Alligator mississippiensis: one gene and its partner. The protein of the gene in region 2 interacts with the protein of the main gene of each other region in a pairwise test. Links are inferred from orthologs where the notes say so. Each region holds a gene or a part of one and is shown on either strand. Other genes may lie near its edges. The genes, in order: TNIP2 and NFKB1.

Region 1 (8,418 bases), about 140 Mb from region 2:
TCTTCCCCATAAAAATAGTCCCTCTCCAAAAGGGAAGGCGAGGCCAAAATTGTACATGTATGCAAGCTGAACCTGAAACAATGGCAAAGTGGCTCAAAATTTATGTTTTCAATTTGTTTTTGTTGTAAAATGGTGATTAAGGTATTTTTGTTGTCCAAAGCCCTCATTAGTGAGTCATCCAAAAGATGTCACCTCCAAAAACATGGCACCCTCTAGCACTATATTCTAGGATCCATTCACTTGTTTAAGCACATGCAAATATGCATGATTTAGGAAAAGATGCTAACTGTGGCCTAGCTATTAAAGATAAAAGGATAAAGACATTGACTGTTAAGACAGAAAAATGAGTAAGAACAGTTTTTACCCTTCAGTTCTGAAAGCCAACAGTTCAAGTTCTATAGATTAAGTGTACCTGACTGGATCTTTCAATAGGAATCAGTTCCTTGGAATGCCTTCTCTCTTTTTTCTGTGTGTCCTCTAGACATTTTGCCAGGTGTTGACACATTTCTGCTGTTGACGCCAATTTACGCTGAAGTTGGTGAGTTTCATCAGTTAGAGAACGGCACAGTACTTCACTAGTGGCCTGGACTTTTTCTCTTTCTGCCAAGCTTCTCTTGAGTCTTAAGATTTCTCTCTCCCTTTCATGCGGAGGCTGGCTTACAATCTGCTGCATCTCTCTTTCTTTTTCTTCCAGTTGCTGTTTCAGCTGCTGCACTTCCTAATTAAGCAGAAAGAAGTTAGTGTATTTGTCAGAGACCTAAAAAAAACAAACAAACAAAACAACCCCAAAACCCCAATCCACAACTATTTAAATTTTAAAATTGTCTATTCAGGAATGTCAGCCATAGTAATATAAATGGTTAAATACCATTTATATAAAAAAACCTTTTCCATAAAGTTTTTGAACATGGAGCTGGACTTGGTCAATGAACCACTGCTTTTTCCAGTTTCCTCCTTCATTTTAGTATGCATATGGTTAGACATACTCTAGACCAGAAAGTGACTGGTATGCAGAAATGGATGTACCCCTAAAACTTAACTGCAAACTGTTTCCAACCTCTTACTTATGGACACACATTAGGTTTTGCATTTGTATTCCATTTTCTTAAAACACACTGTAGTTTGTCAGTAAGTCAGGACAACTGATTCTTAGTATTTTGAACTGACTAGTAATGACCATTTTCTAAACATATTTAGGTTTTTGGTAAGAGACATCAGAATTAGTATTAATGGTGTTCACTATCTTTATATGAATAACTTGGGTCACAAACACTGAAATAATCTGTTTTAAGGCAATAGCACCAGCCTATGGTAATCTGCCCACATTTAAAATACAATAAAAGATCCACTTCTGGCTCTGGGAAGAATATAAAATAACAAGAGTCTGGATTGCTGAGGATCACTGGGAGAACCATCACACACCACCTCCCCAATGGAAAACGTACCACATCCAGCAACACTCAAGTATTATGTAAGCAACAAATACAGATTATTAAGGAAACTTGGAAGGGCATGAAATACAGAGTAAAGAGGAATGACAACAGGTAAGGTAAGGTAACAAGACCAATTAAGAGAGAAACTGTCTATTCCCATTACCCAGATTACAAGGTAGTCTAAGGGAATGCATCAAACTAGGGATTTTAAACCTCTCCTCATAGTACTGAGGAAGCACTGTGCCTAACCCTGGGGTACAAATCCACTTATTTACAGGCAGCAACACTGCCACATTTCTTAGAAGTAAAATGAAACAGAACACTACAAACTTGAAGGAGAATTGGCAGTAAAGACAAGTGGACAGAATCAAACCCCCAACATCATGCAAGCATGGCCTTTCCTAGATGAGCCATAGTTGAGCAGACACTGTGTGAAGCTTCTCATGCCAACAAGGGATTCAGTGAACTGTAAGTTTTCATCTCCTTTGACATATGGGGTCCCTCTGCACTAGCTCTGAAGAGGCAGGGATCTGTCAGCAGCATGAGGATCATCAGCCACTCTTCTGGCATCATCCTGTATTCAAGTGTCAAGGAGGCTTGGCATACATCAATGGTGACTAAATCAGTCACCTAAACATCCCTTCTTCCTGTACACTCAGAGGCTGAAGGACAGCAGCTGTGAAGGAAGCCTGTGGAGCACAGCTCCTCCAGAATCAGCAAGTGTATGTACCCTTGGGGCGGGAAAAGGAAACAGAGGTATACCAATTCCAGATGGTTCTTCAGGAACTCAAATCTTAACATTGTGGAAGAGTGCAACGAAGACACAAAAGTAGATATTCTTGTTTCTAAGCTTCATCATTATGAATCTTTGTAGAAGCAGTATCTTGGCTTGGGAACAGTATTCTAGTACCACCGTGTACATTCGCTTTAAAAGAATGCAATCATTACAATATAGAATCTGCAAGGAAACAGGGCCTGTGATCACTTGAAAGAAAAGGGGATACTGCAAATGGAATTCATAAATCCAAAAAGTCCATTTTAAGGTCAAAAGGTTCTCTAGAGATGGGGGATTTTTTTGTGCTAAGTTTACACTTAATAGGCAGTTTGAGGCATGACTTCAACTCAAATAATAGTCAGGCAAGAGTGCCAGAGGGATCATTTGCAAGTTTCAAAACCTGAACTCATCCGTGGTGCATTTGAAAGTCTGTGGTGCTTGGGAAATGTTCTTGTTCAAGCATTAGGTCAAGAGATTGTTTCGTTTTGCAGCATTTTCTGATTTGGAAATTCCTTTGTGCAGCTTCAGACAGGAAAAGGGACTTTTAAAAATGTTCCCTTGAGAATATTTGAGCATATCCGTAACCAGAGCTGATCGGCAAGGGTCTAAAAAGTCCTCGTTTGTCCAGGCAGCTGGAAACAAAGCCATTTCACTCAGGAAGAAGGAAAATGCAAACACCCGCTGTTTCAACTTAAAGCAACCCACTACAGCTAAGATACAATCCTGGTGTACAAGGGTGTCAGGGAAAGAAAAATTAATAGGAAAGCCACCTAAAAGACAAGGAAGAACTCAGATATCCTGCTGAAATACTTCAGTAGAAAAGCACTGGCCCCAAGGACCTGCACATTGTTCCCACTGCAATGTCTCATCTCTCTCCATCCTTACACGTACGCCTTTCCCTCCACCTGTGCCAAAGTCCCAGGTACAGCAGACTGTGCTGCTCTCAAGCTGGCTCGACTGTGGCCAGCGCTGCCCTACCCGCGATGCTGCCTGGAAACTGCCCCTTTCCTACAAGGCTGAAGTGCAGGGGTGCCCCTGAGGGACACCTGGGAGGAGGCGCATCCACTCCCTGGCAGGTGTGTGCAGCCAGCCCCAGCCTTACCTGGCTCCGTGCCTCCGCCTCCTGCGCCGCGGCCCGGTCGCGCTCCCGCAGCTGCTGCTTCACTTGAGACAGCTGCTCCACCAGGCTGTCCACCAGCGACCGCGCCGGCGCCGCCGCCGCCGCCTCCCCCGCCAGCCCGGCCCGCAGCTCCCGGACCAGCGCGTCCTTGGCCGCCACCTGCACTTGCAGGTGCTTGAGCTGCTGCCCGGCCTCGTGATAGAGGCCGCAGAGCGCGTGGTAGCGCGGCACCTTGGCCCGCAGGCTGCGGTTCTCTCGCTGCAGCTTCTCCAGCGCCTCCTGCAGCGCCTCGGCGCCGCCGCCCTCGCCCATTGCCCGGCCCCGCGCCCGCTGCTGCTGCTCCAAGTCTGCCGGTGCCAGCGGGGTCCCCGCCAGCCGCATGGGGCCTCGGCCGCCGCCGCCACCCCGCGCCGCTTATCAACCCGCCCGCCCCGGGGCGGAGCCCGGCCGCGACTCGACGCGAGCGGGGAGCGGCCCGGCCTTGCGAAACCCTCGCGGGACCCGCCGTCTTCGCGGGAATTTCCTCGCGGGACTCCCCCGCCCCTTCCGGAGGGCGTGCGCAGGCGCAGTGCGCGAGGACTCCCTGCCCCCCCCCCAACTGTGACGCCTCAACCGTCGCCCGCCTGTAGGAGCAGCTCACGAAGGATGGAAGGGGGTGTGCGCAGGCGTAGTGCGCGAGGACCCCCCCCCCCTTCTCCGTCTCCCGCTCCTGTTCAACTGTGACGTCTCAGAAGTGCTCGCGACGGTTGGGGAGCCGCGTGTGCGCAGGCGCAGCGCGCGTGGTCACCTCTCCCCCACCTCAACGGCGGCGTGTCAACTGTCGCCCGCCTTGTGGGGTGTCGCGCGACGACCGTTGGTGGCAGGATGGGCGGGCCCCCCCGCACGGACCCCGCGGGACACAGGCAGGGGAGGCCACTCGTAGCCCCTGGTGCTCAGTGCCCCAGGCTGCCCTGAACGCCTCCCAAGGTGGCCTTAGGTTTTTTGGGGCCCTGAGTCTTTTGGAGCCCCTTAGAGGCATAAGTAGAAGAAGGAAGGAGTTTTTAATAAGTTGAAGAAATAAAGTTTTTTAACACTGAGCTATGTTCTAGGGTCATTGCATCTTCCATATGGGCCCGTCTACAACACAAACGCCTCCCAGGACATAAGCTGATAGCCTGCGTGGGACCTGGGGCCCTCAAGGCCACGCTGTGAGGCGCGCAGAAGGGATAACCCCAGAGTCTTCAAATAGGAACTGGTTGCTGCGGTCTTCCTCCAGTCTTTGAGAAACTCCTCTATTACCTTTCTGTAAACAAAAAGAATAGTGAATGCTAAGAGCTGGCACTTCCCAAGGTGCCCCCAGCCTTCCCAGGGTTGCCTCCAGTCTAGAAAGGTTGAGATCCACTCACCCAGTGCACACCTAGTTTGGCTGCTGCAAAGGAAATGCCTACGGGAGGCCCTGAGATCCTTTCAAGGGTGCCGCAGGTTGCCACGCAGCACTAGTGGTGCTCGGTGTAATGGCACAATTCATGTGACGGACGAGGAATCTGCAGCATCAAAAGCATGTTGACCTGGGATCTCTCCTGAGGTCTTTGCAAAGGAAGAATTGCTCTAGTAGTTGTCTGCACTCAAAGAACGAGCGAAAGCTGAGAGCTGGCATTTTCCAAGGGGGGCCTCAAATCTATCGAGGGGCACCTCAAATCTCCTGAGGGGTGCCCCGAGGCTAAAAAGGTTAAGAGCCACTAGTTCGCAACCTCTCAACCACTAGTTCTCGAGCTTTGAGGCTAAAAATGTTGAAAACACCTAGGAGACGTTTGTGTGAGCAAATGGACAGCAGGCAGTGTATTCTGGATGAAACAGCAGCCTATCTAGTCCTTTGAAAAGCACTATGAAGCTTAACCCCTGGCAGTGAAGCAATGGCTCCAAACAAGGGAGGTTGCACCAGTGCAAACTGGAGTAAAGATGCCAGCATTTGGTGCTTCAGAAAGAAACTTTAGGATTTGGGTTAGCAATGAGACAAAGTGGAGGAATTACGTCATTCTTTTGTCTCAAAGATTGCCAGCAAGAATCTCAAGCTTCATCAGAATAGTGTTGCTAAACACATTCAAAATACTGTACTGGTACAAACAGGTACATATGTATTAACAACACTTACGGGAAAGAAGACCCCTGGAACGAGTAAGTATAAGACATTTGCTCAAGATGCAGATTTACAATGCATTTAATGTTTATCCCAATAAATTATTTAGTACCATCATGAATATCTTTATAGTGCTAATCATGGTCACTGAAATATTATTAGAATGAAAGGTTATGGAAATTACAATTCTTGACCCTTATTAGAGAAGCATTTATTTTCGGTCTTCTGTAACATTTAAGTCCTTATCTTTGGAAGGAAAACAGTTTTTTTTTTTTTCAACCGAAGTTATTTTAAGGTAACATTGTAGGAACGATAAGGTACTTTGTAGTTTTTACAAATTGAGAGGCAGCGTGAAAGAAAACACAAGCCTAGAATTTACCGTATTATTATTTTAGAGTAGGCCTTGAATCCCGCTAACCCAAATAATATACAAATATTCTACACTTTATTTAAACAGCAGATTATTTTAATATGTTAAATATTGAAACCGATTAAGAATCAAACAGGAAGTTTGATTTGATTGGAATTTGAAATAGTTTTTTATTTGAAATAAAATATAAACATATTAAATATTGTATTTGATTATTAGGTTACAATAGTGTTGGTGAGACCTGCCAGCTTTCACCCAAGGAAAATACTATTAAGTTCAAGGGGAATTTGTCCTGAGTAAGAGTTTGATTCCGTAAGTTCTTGGAATGGTCCTGGGATGACTATCACCATTTGTTAAAACTAGGATTCAGACTTAACAGCCTAGGAATTCAGTAATAAGAAGCTGAAGCTAGAGAATGAGTCAGCACTTAACATTCATTTCTGTTACTGTACCTGGCTTTTCCTGGATTGCCTTGGGCATATCAGTTACCAGATACTTTTTCTGAGGTTTTTCATGGTCTACTGCATTGCATGTTTGTGCTTTTCAGTTTTATGCAATGAGATGCTGATATAGTCCGTTGCATGCTTCTCAGTAGCAGTAAGTGTGTGAACTCAAGGCACTCACTGCAACCCCTCTATATGATGAGACACCCTTATTTTATTTTATTTTATTTTATTACATGTTACCAGCTTCACCTGAAAATCTGACATGGACATGGACTGTGGTCCCCCTCCTGATGAGAAAAGCTGACTAAAATTTATCCGCAAACATCCTCAAATATAGGTTTTGTAGAAACCAATATTTACTCTTCAGATAATGATGGATAAAATGTTACCATGACATTTCAAAAAATTCCAATCAAAAGTTATTTTTAAATAAATAAACATTCCCCAGGAATGTTGCCACCGAAACCTTGTCATAGCCCATGAATAGTAGTGTCACAGTTCACAATAAACAGAAAATGACTAACTAGAAGCTCACTAGAAACAAAAACGAGAGTAAGTCTACTTTAACTGGGAAATGGGGAAAGAAAGTAGCACAGTTCTGTGTAACATAGTTTAACATAAATTAGTTTAGCATTTATTAAATTTGTTTTTAATGGTTTTTAATAAATTTGTAATACAGTACAGGAATATTTTTTAAAGTGCACTGCTGATAGTGAACTGATTCCAATTTACTAATGTAAATTGAGAATAATTGTACTGAAGTCGGTAGTTATACTTACATTACACTATCGTAAGTGATATCAAAACACATGCCAAGATTTTTTAATTGTGATTCTTTGAATAGCCTGTAAAAATAGCAGCTCAGGGTTCCATCTGTCTCTGTGATTATGCATCAGCTGTGCTCTGTTTGCAAGAAATCATGTTTTTCTGACTGCAAGTCATGCACATGCAACCTGAATTCAGAAAGCCAGGCTCAATGTTTTTTTTCTTTCCTGCATACCATCCCCTGTAATAAAATTACCAAATTATGCCCTCAGTGATACCTGTGCAACCCTATTTTCCAGAATTGATTTACAGAGGTATAATTGATAGAATTTAAAAAGCAATCCTGTGGAGGCTATGAGGTAAAAGAATAAGCAACAGCTTGTGATTCCTTAATTGTTGTCTCTGCTGGGCCAATGGGATTAAAAAGCAGTAAAAATGTACTTATGTCACTAAAGTCAGTACATACTTCCAGGCATCCAAAACTTATCATCTGTAGCACTCAGGTTGCTCATAATCTGTTCCATTGTACCAGAAAGAAATTTTGCAGATGGGCTTCCCTGTCTGTCTGGATACTTTTTAGTTTATGTTCTAACAGAGATTTAAGCTCCTATCTCATAGGGTACATATACACATGCAAGCACGTGCATTTGCAGCAGCTCAAATAGAAGTGGTGCAAATTTGAGCCAGGGTTTTTTGTCTCAGCGCAGGTTGTCAGACATGAACTTTGGTGTGGGACAAATTGTGCCACTTTGGGCCTGCCTGGCTCCTCCCAGATCTGCAGCCTGGGGCCAGCACCTGTGCTCTTGCTGTTGTTTCTGCTGCTGCCCCCTCTCAGGAGAGAGGGAGATTCCCTGCTGCACCACCTGACACCATACCTGCACTGGATCACTTCCTAATTGACTGGCTGCTCCTACCCTCCCACACAGCTACCTCACTGCATCTGATCCTGATTTGTCTTCTTGCTGACTGCTCTGCTTTTAAGTGACTGGCTGGAGGCCTGAGGGGTTTCTGGACAGATCTTCTACAAACAAAGCCCCTTCACTGCTCCAGCCATCTTTTACACCTGCCTTAGCAGCCTTCCCTGTATGCTTTTTTGCCCTTGTGTGGTAAGTCCTGTGGTCCACTCCCTCTGACCTGGTGTTTGTTGTGTGGCTGAGTAAGCTAGCTCAAGTTTCCCCAGCCCTTGTGTGTGTGGTTGTTTTTGTTTTTGTTCCCCTCCCCCCTCCCCCCCTCCGCCTCCATTCTCAAAGCATAGGCCTCCCATTTTTTTCCTGTGGGGCTGTGGCTCAGTGAGCTTCAACCCCTTTCCTCCCTTCCTCTCTAAACCCCTTCTGTCCCACAACCCCAGCCTGCACCTACTAGATTCACCAGCCCCATGGGATATTTTGTTTTT
Region 2 (8,166 bases):
TTTTTTTCAGCTTTCTTTTCAACCTCCATCATGATGGTAAGATTAGATATGTATCATCTAAAAGAAAGAACTTGGCCCTGAGTTCATAACTGAACTTATGAATCTCAATCATTATTGAACATGCTTGATAACCCTCTTAACATTCAAAACTCAAAAGCTTCCAGTTCTGTGCTCTGGAGATAGTGTTACTAGGTACACTGAAGGACACATTCTGGGCTTTCCCATGGAGCTTGTATAAGGCAGTGACATATAGGAAGTAATTAAAACAATGTAACAGAAAGCTGAACTTTACTTTTCACAAAACCTCCAGTATTCATTTAACATTGGCTTTGAGATCTGAAGTTCTTTGTAAAGATACAATTGCTAATCAGCACTGAAAAAGTAGGAACATTTAGAAAGGTGGATCTAAAATAGTGCTCTCCATGGCTTTTTCAGTTCCTTCCTCATTTTCTGTTTTCCATCACAAGCACTTTTTCCACTCTAAAATGGCTCAACTCGTCTTCTGTTGACTTTTTTTTTTTTTTTTGTAGTTAACAGTCTCTATCAGTTGCAGATTACTTCTCTGAAGACCGTACTTTTCAGATAAGCAACTCCAACCAAAATGAAAAACACATTCTTGGTTTCATTATCTTAAACAGCTTAGTGTTTATTCATTACTTCTTAGTGAAATTAATTTACTTTGTGCTGACTTTACTGTTGATCATTTTCTTTCAATGGGAGTGTGGACAGGAAAGGAAGGCTTTTCTCTTGTTAAACTGAAAACCTTTTATAACTAAATTACTCAGTCTTGCAAACAATAAACCAAAGGTAATAGAGGGGTAAAGGAAATTCACATGTAAAAATATTATGTGAAGATCCCTAGCTGGTCAATATTGTCATAATTTCACTATCTTTGAGATCACTGTCACTGAACTATAACATTTTATAGTAGTTGAGAGGCTGCATCCAGGTTTTATAAAGTGCTTTGTTCCAGCATTTTAGCAACTAACTTACTGATCATTCATTAACATAGATTACAGGGAACCAAATCTGAACAGTTTTATCTTCTCTTCAAATTACAAAAGTATGGGTTTTTACCCAGAGAAAGTAACTCTGACTAGTATGTTTACAAAGCTAAACGAATCTGTAATACACAGCAAAAAAAAGTTTAAGAACTTCAAAAAAAAACAATAAACAAACAGCTAAAAAATGTTAAGGCCATATTTTTAACTCCATTATTTCAGTGTAAATCTGATGTGCCAGAATGAAGAATCATGCTCTCTAAGATCTGTTCGGATTTCTGTCTTGGAAAGAAAATGATAGAGAAAACAATAAAAGGGATTTTTTTTTTTTTTAAACCATACAGTTAAATACTCCTATTTACAGTAAACTCTAATTAACTTGTCACTGCAATGTGAATAGAAATAATGACAAGTTATCTGGTAATGACCAACTTTTAGAACTGGATAACAGGGGGAGAAGGGAACCAAAGGGCAAATTAAACCAGTGACAAATTAATCGAAGCTTATTGTGCTCTATGCCATGTTAAATAACATCTCTATTTTCTTCTCAAACTTTACTTTTTTGTAAAGATTTGTGTCTTCAATATTTAACTTTTTTTTAAACTGGAAAACAGAAATATGCTTTTGAATTAACAGACAGGTTTTATTTGTAAAGCTCCAATCCTGCAAACACTTACACGGGTATACAATTAAACATGTGAATAAAGTTGTACATGTAAAAGCTTTTGTAGGATCAGGCCCATTGCCTGTATTTGTATACAAAATGGAGTCCAGGCTAAAGAAATAATATCTATTTTATATATTTGGAAGGTTCAGTTCTGCATTTTTTTTTTTTCTTCTTGCTTTGCCATTGTCCTGGAGGAAGCAGTATTAAGTTTTTTTTCTTCATTTGAACATAAAATTGTGTGTGTGTCTTTATGTTCAAATGAAGAAAACATTTAATGACAGAGCAGAAAAACTAATGTGGAACTGAACCTTCCATGTGTTAGGGTCAGCTATAATAGCAACAAAGTGTCAGATATTAGTCTCCATCATGGAAAGAGTATTTCATTTCTATCTAGTACTGTGGATGCCCTTAAACCCTTGCCAGCTACCAGCTGTAAAACTGCTTGTAATCTTCCCTGTATTTGCAACAGAGACCTTTCATGGTTCTCGCTCACTATTAGGGTTTTCCCATGCTACTTCACCACCAATGTTTACAGTTACACTAGAGGCCCAGATTTCTTTGGGAGGCATCTTCTACTGGACACACTGCATCACTGGGATACAGTTAGACAAGCTTTCAAAACACAAAGTATCCCACTTTAAGTCACAGTTATACTTTCAACTGGCAGGTTAGTCAGGAAAACCAAATCAGATACAACAGCAGAGCCCCTGAAGGCTGTTGCAGGAAAAGCCAGAACGTCACACAAAAATGGAGCAATTGTTCACAAACTGTGGCCTTCACACACTATGCTTTTCTTTGTTGTACCAATTCTGGGTCTCCTTAATCCACAGGGAAAAAAATTGCAACAGTGCCAGAACTATAGATATCCTGAGCAAAGGAGGAGAAAAAGGGTGGAAAAGTGGTATGCATCCACTTCAGCTGTTTTGTTTCCTGTACCTGGCAGGACTTTGCATCCACCCCTTTTCTCCTCCCTTATGCAGAATATCTACACAGCTGGCACTGTAGTGGTTTTCTGTGAATCAAGGAGGCCCACAACTGGCGTGACGAAGGTAACCATAGTTTGCGAAGACCACAGCTTGCTCCATTTCACGTGCGACACTTGGGCTTTGCCAGCAGCAGGCTTCAGGGGTGCCACTACTGCACTTGAACTGGTTTTCCTGACCCACCTGCCAGTATGACCATTACCTGAAACAGAGTGCCTTATATTCAAAAGCTGGTGTCTCTTGATCCCACTGACACAGTGGGTCCAGTAGAAGATGCCACCCAAAGAAAGGACCCCCTGAGGGGGGCATGTGGAAGGAGGCAGAGGCCAGTAATACATCCAGCGTTTCCTTCTCCCCTTGATTTGCCCCCTACCCTTGGCAGGGCTTTGTATGCCTGCCCATCTCTTCCCACCTGGCTCAGAAGAGCCCCACAAGCATCCCCATGAAGGCAGGGGGGAAAACCCCTGCGTGCATCTTGGCCGCCAGGATCAGCAGCCACAAATTGCGTCATGACACAGCAACTAAACACAGGGATTTCTGAAGTTACACAATTACAAGCAAAAAACAAAATAAAAATATCAAAAAGAAAGACATACACAGCAGCAAGAGGCGGCGGCGATGACAACCCCAGACCCTCGGCTCGGGCACAGCCCCTCCCTCCCCAGGGCCGGGGGCGGCCCCAGGCCGGGCTGCGCCAAGGGAGGAAGCGGGCCGGGCCGGGCCGGGCCGGGCGCGCTGCCCGCCCCCCTCGCCCTCAGGGCACCCTCCCGGCCAACGTGACCCCCCCCCCCCCGCTCCTCACAGCCCCGCGCCCGCGATCCGGAGTGACCCCGGCTCCCCGCTGGCGGGGCACAGCTGCGTACTCACCCTGCCTGGGCGCGGGGAAGAGGCCCCCGCTCCGCTCCGCTCCGCTCCGCTCGTCCCGTCCCGTCTGTCGCGGGCTCAGCGCCGCGCCATGAGCCGCTCGCCGCCGCCGGCCGGCCGGGACCCGCGGCCGCCGCCCTGTGAGCGCCGCCCGCCGCCGTGCCCGTGTGCCCGAGTGTGTGCGCGCAGCGCCGCTTCCTGCTCCGCGGCCCCAGCTGCTCGCCCCTCTCACTTCCTGGCTGGAAATTCCCGCTGACGTCTCGAGACCAAGCGAGCGGCTGCGGCGGAGGCGGCGGCCGGGGGAGAGAGGGGGCAGGACGCCTGCCGCCGCCACCGCCTCAGGGGGTGCTGCTGCGACCCGGCAAAGCCGCTCGTCCCGGATCCCGCAGGGTCCCGCAAGCTCCTTGTGCCGCCCGGGTTCAAGCCGGGCTACCTCCACTTCCCCGGGTGTGGGAGGGTGTCCCGGCCTCTTCTGAAGGGAGTCAAACCCGGGCCAGTCGCTTACCGCCCAGAGAGGAAACAGTCTGCGCCGGATAGGGGACACTCAGGTTTTCTGCTACTCTGTCCTCTATTGATACACCTTTACGTCCTCTATTTGTCCTAATTAAGGAGGCCCAGAATTGGTACGACAAATAAAACCATAGTTTGTGAAGGGCACAGTTGGTGAATGATCGCTCCATTTTGTCCTCTATTTGTCCTCTTTGGGAGGAAAATACAGGACAAAAAGGGCTTTGTATCAATAGAGCACAACCGGACTGTCCTCTATGACGGCCACCCTAGTGCCAGATGAGAGAAACTCTACCCCCCCCCCCCCGCCCTCCCCAGGGAAAACCCTAGAGAGGAAGAAGCTGGTTACATCCCCCCAGAACACAATCTGGCTTCCACAGGAGCAGGAACTGCTCACCCCAGCAAACACGTTTTGCAGCTCAAAGGGAGCTGTGTGAGGGCACAAGTACTAGGCATTTAAAAACATGCAGGCACTGCCCCCACTGTTGCTAACATTGCACCCGTTTTAGTATGGTGCCAGTTAAAGCATCATCTACTCAAAAAATGCTAAAAGAGGCATTGGAGCTGGAGGGCAACTGGGGTTGCAATAGTCTGTGTGGCACAGACTAGCATTTACTATACATTTGTACAGCACTTAGCACAACAGACCCCCCCTCTCTCCCCAGCTGCCTGGCCCTTTTAAAGTAAAAATAATCATTGATAATATACTGAGGGTCTTGATGCTGATATGAACTTTTATGAAGCAAAATCTAGGATGCTCTGCAGGCCTCTGGAACTGGAAGTGGTTTACCCCCTCTTCTGGTCCACACTTACAGGAAAATCCTCTCCTGCCACAAAGAGAAAAAAAGTCTATTTTAAATCATGTGCTGCAATATTGGAGTGTTATGGACTCTGCCCAGGGAAACCTCTTGAACCGGAAGCAGCAGAGCTGTACTTACATGGCACTCTTCTGTATCCAAGCTACTTAACTCCACTTCATGGCATCGCTAATTACTATAGCTGCATTCATGCAGCGTTGACAAAGCTAATTAGCCAGGGGCACAGTATGACCCAATCGTACTGTTTCTATTCTGCTTTGGCACCACCATGATGTTTGGGACTGTTCCTGAAAATCTGGGGTGGTTCTTTTACTTCTGGTGCAGCTGAGCAAGTACAAGCAACAGTGGGAAGTTTTTGAGGGAAATAAACTTTTCTTTCTTTTGAGCAAGTGCCCCTCCCTGCATGGCAGGGGACTGGGTACAGCAGTGGGATGGAAAAAGATTTTAAACAATGAATTAATAGCCAGTGTACAAAACTGTGGATCTTGCCTCTTTAACACTGAAACATGGATCTCTTCCAGAACCGGAGCAGAAATCAGCCAAAATGCTACATTCAATCAATGATGAATCACATTTTTGCAGAGGTACAGCAGTAGGAAGGTACAGAGGAGGAAAGGTGTCATAATTTCTTCTCAGCAGAGGTTTGGATTGAAATCTTGTGGCTATCTATGGTTGACCAAATTTAAAATCCAGATGTGGGTTTGGATAGCGTTCCCTCAGCCAAATTTTGTGGCTCATTCCCATCTCTAATACTCATTTAGCATTACTTTCAAGGCTGTTTCCAAAAATCCCGCATGACCCACAATTTTTTTTCTCTGTGTTTTTGATAAGGGAACTGAAATCATTTACAGATAAAGACCCTGAATTTCTCTTTTCAAACTGTTCTCTTGACTCATCATGCAATTCTGAAAATGGAATTTTTCACAAACTCTTTCATTGTTTTAGCATTTCTAAGAGAAATAATCAATTCTGAGGAGTTTTTCAGTCCCATGACAGGAATCTGAACTCCCTTGTGGAAGTACAAAGTTAGTACACTGAATTCACTGGAGTAAAAACAGTATAAAGATTTTGGCCCCAGGGCTCTGAATGAAGGAGTTTAATATAGATTTAAAAGATGAGAAATGTTTCAGAGAGATTCAGTTGAAAGAAAAGCTGCCATGTCACAGCTACTCACAGGCAGAACTTGAATGAACAAGTACTGGAACATCAGACATGATGGCATAGAAATAAGAGTTAAAACAAACCGAGCAGATTGAGTTTTAAAAGAAAATTATTAATAGCTTCAGCCCCTAACACTTAGCCTCTAACTTATATCCTGTGCCTGCTCCATGGAGGATTTGGTTCACTTTACTTTAAAAAAAAAAGATAACTTTCATTGTCTTACAGCCCAGTCCTCTACTGTTGAAGTCAATGGATGGTTTGTCTTTAACTTCAGAGGAAGCAATATCAGACCGCAAGGTCCCAATCTTGCAAGGGATCTTCTGCATGGGTTTTTTTTCCAAAAATATTTATGCCTCTCTATATAAGTAAATATATATTCTGATGATGATGGCTGATCACTCACAAATGCTAAAGATTGTCTTCTAAGCCTCTTAATAGTGAATCCGCAGGCGGCTCCATAGCCCAATTCTAAATCCACATATCTTGTTGCAGTGAGGACGGGTGTTTCCAGGAGGGATGGGCACTGTGTTGCTGCGTTGGATGTTCTGATGTCCTTTTAGCCTGTTCCTCTTTTCCTCTTCTGCCTGTCGACGAGCTGTTTCAAAGTGTTGTGGTCCCTCCCAAAGAGCCTTCCTCCATTTTGGTTGGTCCTGAGCAAGGGTCTCCCAAGTGTTGATGTCGATGTTACACAACTCCCCCACACCCCTCCCCACCCCCCACCACAATATACAAGAGTAAGACTTCATTTTGAGCTATTATGCAATCACCTCTATGTACACAGCGCATACACACACAAAATCGGGACAAAAATATTTTTAAAAAATAAAATAAAAATATGTTATTGCAGATGTTTGATTTTTAAAATATAATTTGGGGTTTTTTTCTGGTTCCAAGATGGCTAACCCCCTTCCCAAAAGATGTACTTCCAGGGGGAAGGTGAGGGACTTTGGGTGGCAAAGGTCAGAGGGTTAGGGGATGGGACTTTCAGTTCCAAGATAGTGACCAGTGGGCGAGGCACCTGTCAAGGGGTGGGGCTATCCTTGTGGCCCTTGACAGTTTACCAAAACTCACTAAACGGCTCTCCTGCCGAAATAATTGCCTGGCCCTGATCTCGCCGCACCCCTGACATACCTGCTGGGCCAACTCTCTTAAAATGGAGGTAGCCTAGCTCACTTTATACCACCTGAAGAGAAATATTAGAAGAACCACTAGACATTGAGTTAGAACAGGTTTCCTGTTTGTTTGCATAATCACTGTGGCCCAGAGCAAATTGTATTAGGGTGAATAATAAGGTCTGTAGACTTTTCTTGGTTGGGGGGATGGGGACCAAAGAGTTTCTAGGGTATATACATTATATTCAACACATTTTAAGCATATTTATTGTGTTTGGCTAGTTATTATTTGCATAATACCAGACCAATTCCACTACTAGTTTTTATATTTTAATTAACTATGCTCTCATTTTTCTATTTCTAGGTAGTTCTAACAAGAATCTTACATCAAGTGGAGATAAAGTTGTGATGTTTACAATAAAGAAATTGAATTCCTACCTTTAAGAATGATGGGTCAGTACTTGAGTACGAAATGTTAAGCAAGGGTGAATCAGTTCCTCTATCAATATAGAGCTATAAGAAAGACAGATAAGTTGTTAAAAATAGTTTTTGGTGTTCTTAATGTATCTATTGAAACAAAAGAAATGGTTGAAAGAGGTACCCAAAGTCATAAGTAAAGCACTATAATACTTTAAATATTTTTGGGTGGGAAGCATCTGATGAGCTGTGATGGGAACCTTCATCTCCGATACTTGACCCCTCAATTTGTGGAGTCCCACAATTACCATTTCTATCTCTGGTTCTTTTCAAAATGTGCAGGTAACCACTAGACAAAATGGACAAACATGTATTCAGGGCTAGCACAACCCTATACTATACTAATGCTAAAGCCCTATACCAGGGATCAGCAACCCCCGGCATGCATGCCGAGCATGGCATGCAAGGCCATTTTGCTCGGCACACCACCGCCAGCCTGGGCTCTAAGCAGCTGCTGCCAGCCATGGAGCCCAGCCTGCTCCCAGCAGGTGACTGGGAGGCTGCAAGCCCTGCTGCAAGCAGACCAGGCTCTGTGGGCTGGCTGCAGCCAGGAGGCTGCAAACAGCTGCTCTGAGC

What was found.
Region 1: the proteins of NFKB1 (region 2) and TNIP2 interact in binary tests that used the Homo sapiens proteins (3 or more experiments, as listed by UniProt). The link is inferred for Alligator mississippiensis from reciprocal best matches to the Homo sapiens genes NFKB1 and TNIP2.

Annotation. Positions count from the first base shown.
Region 1 is NC_081825.1:20,605,448-20,613,865, forward strand, and holds the start of TNIP2 (TNFAIP3-interacting protein 2), read right to left. Parts: upstream 3,809-8,418; 5' UTR 3,710-3,808; coding exon 3,311-3,709; intron 719-3,310; coding exon 413-718; intron 1-412. UniProt on the Homo sapiens protein: Inhibits NF-kappa-B activation by blocking the interaction of RIPK1 with its downstream effector NEMO/IKBKG.
Region 2 is NC_081825.1:163,075,678-163,083,843, reverse strand, and holds the start of NFKB1 (nuclear factor NF-kappa-B p105 subunit), read right to left. Parts: upstream 3,683-8,166; 5' UTR 3,519-3,682; intron 3,266-3,518; exon of another isoform or gene 3,248-3,265; intron 1-3,247.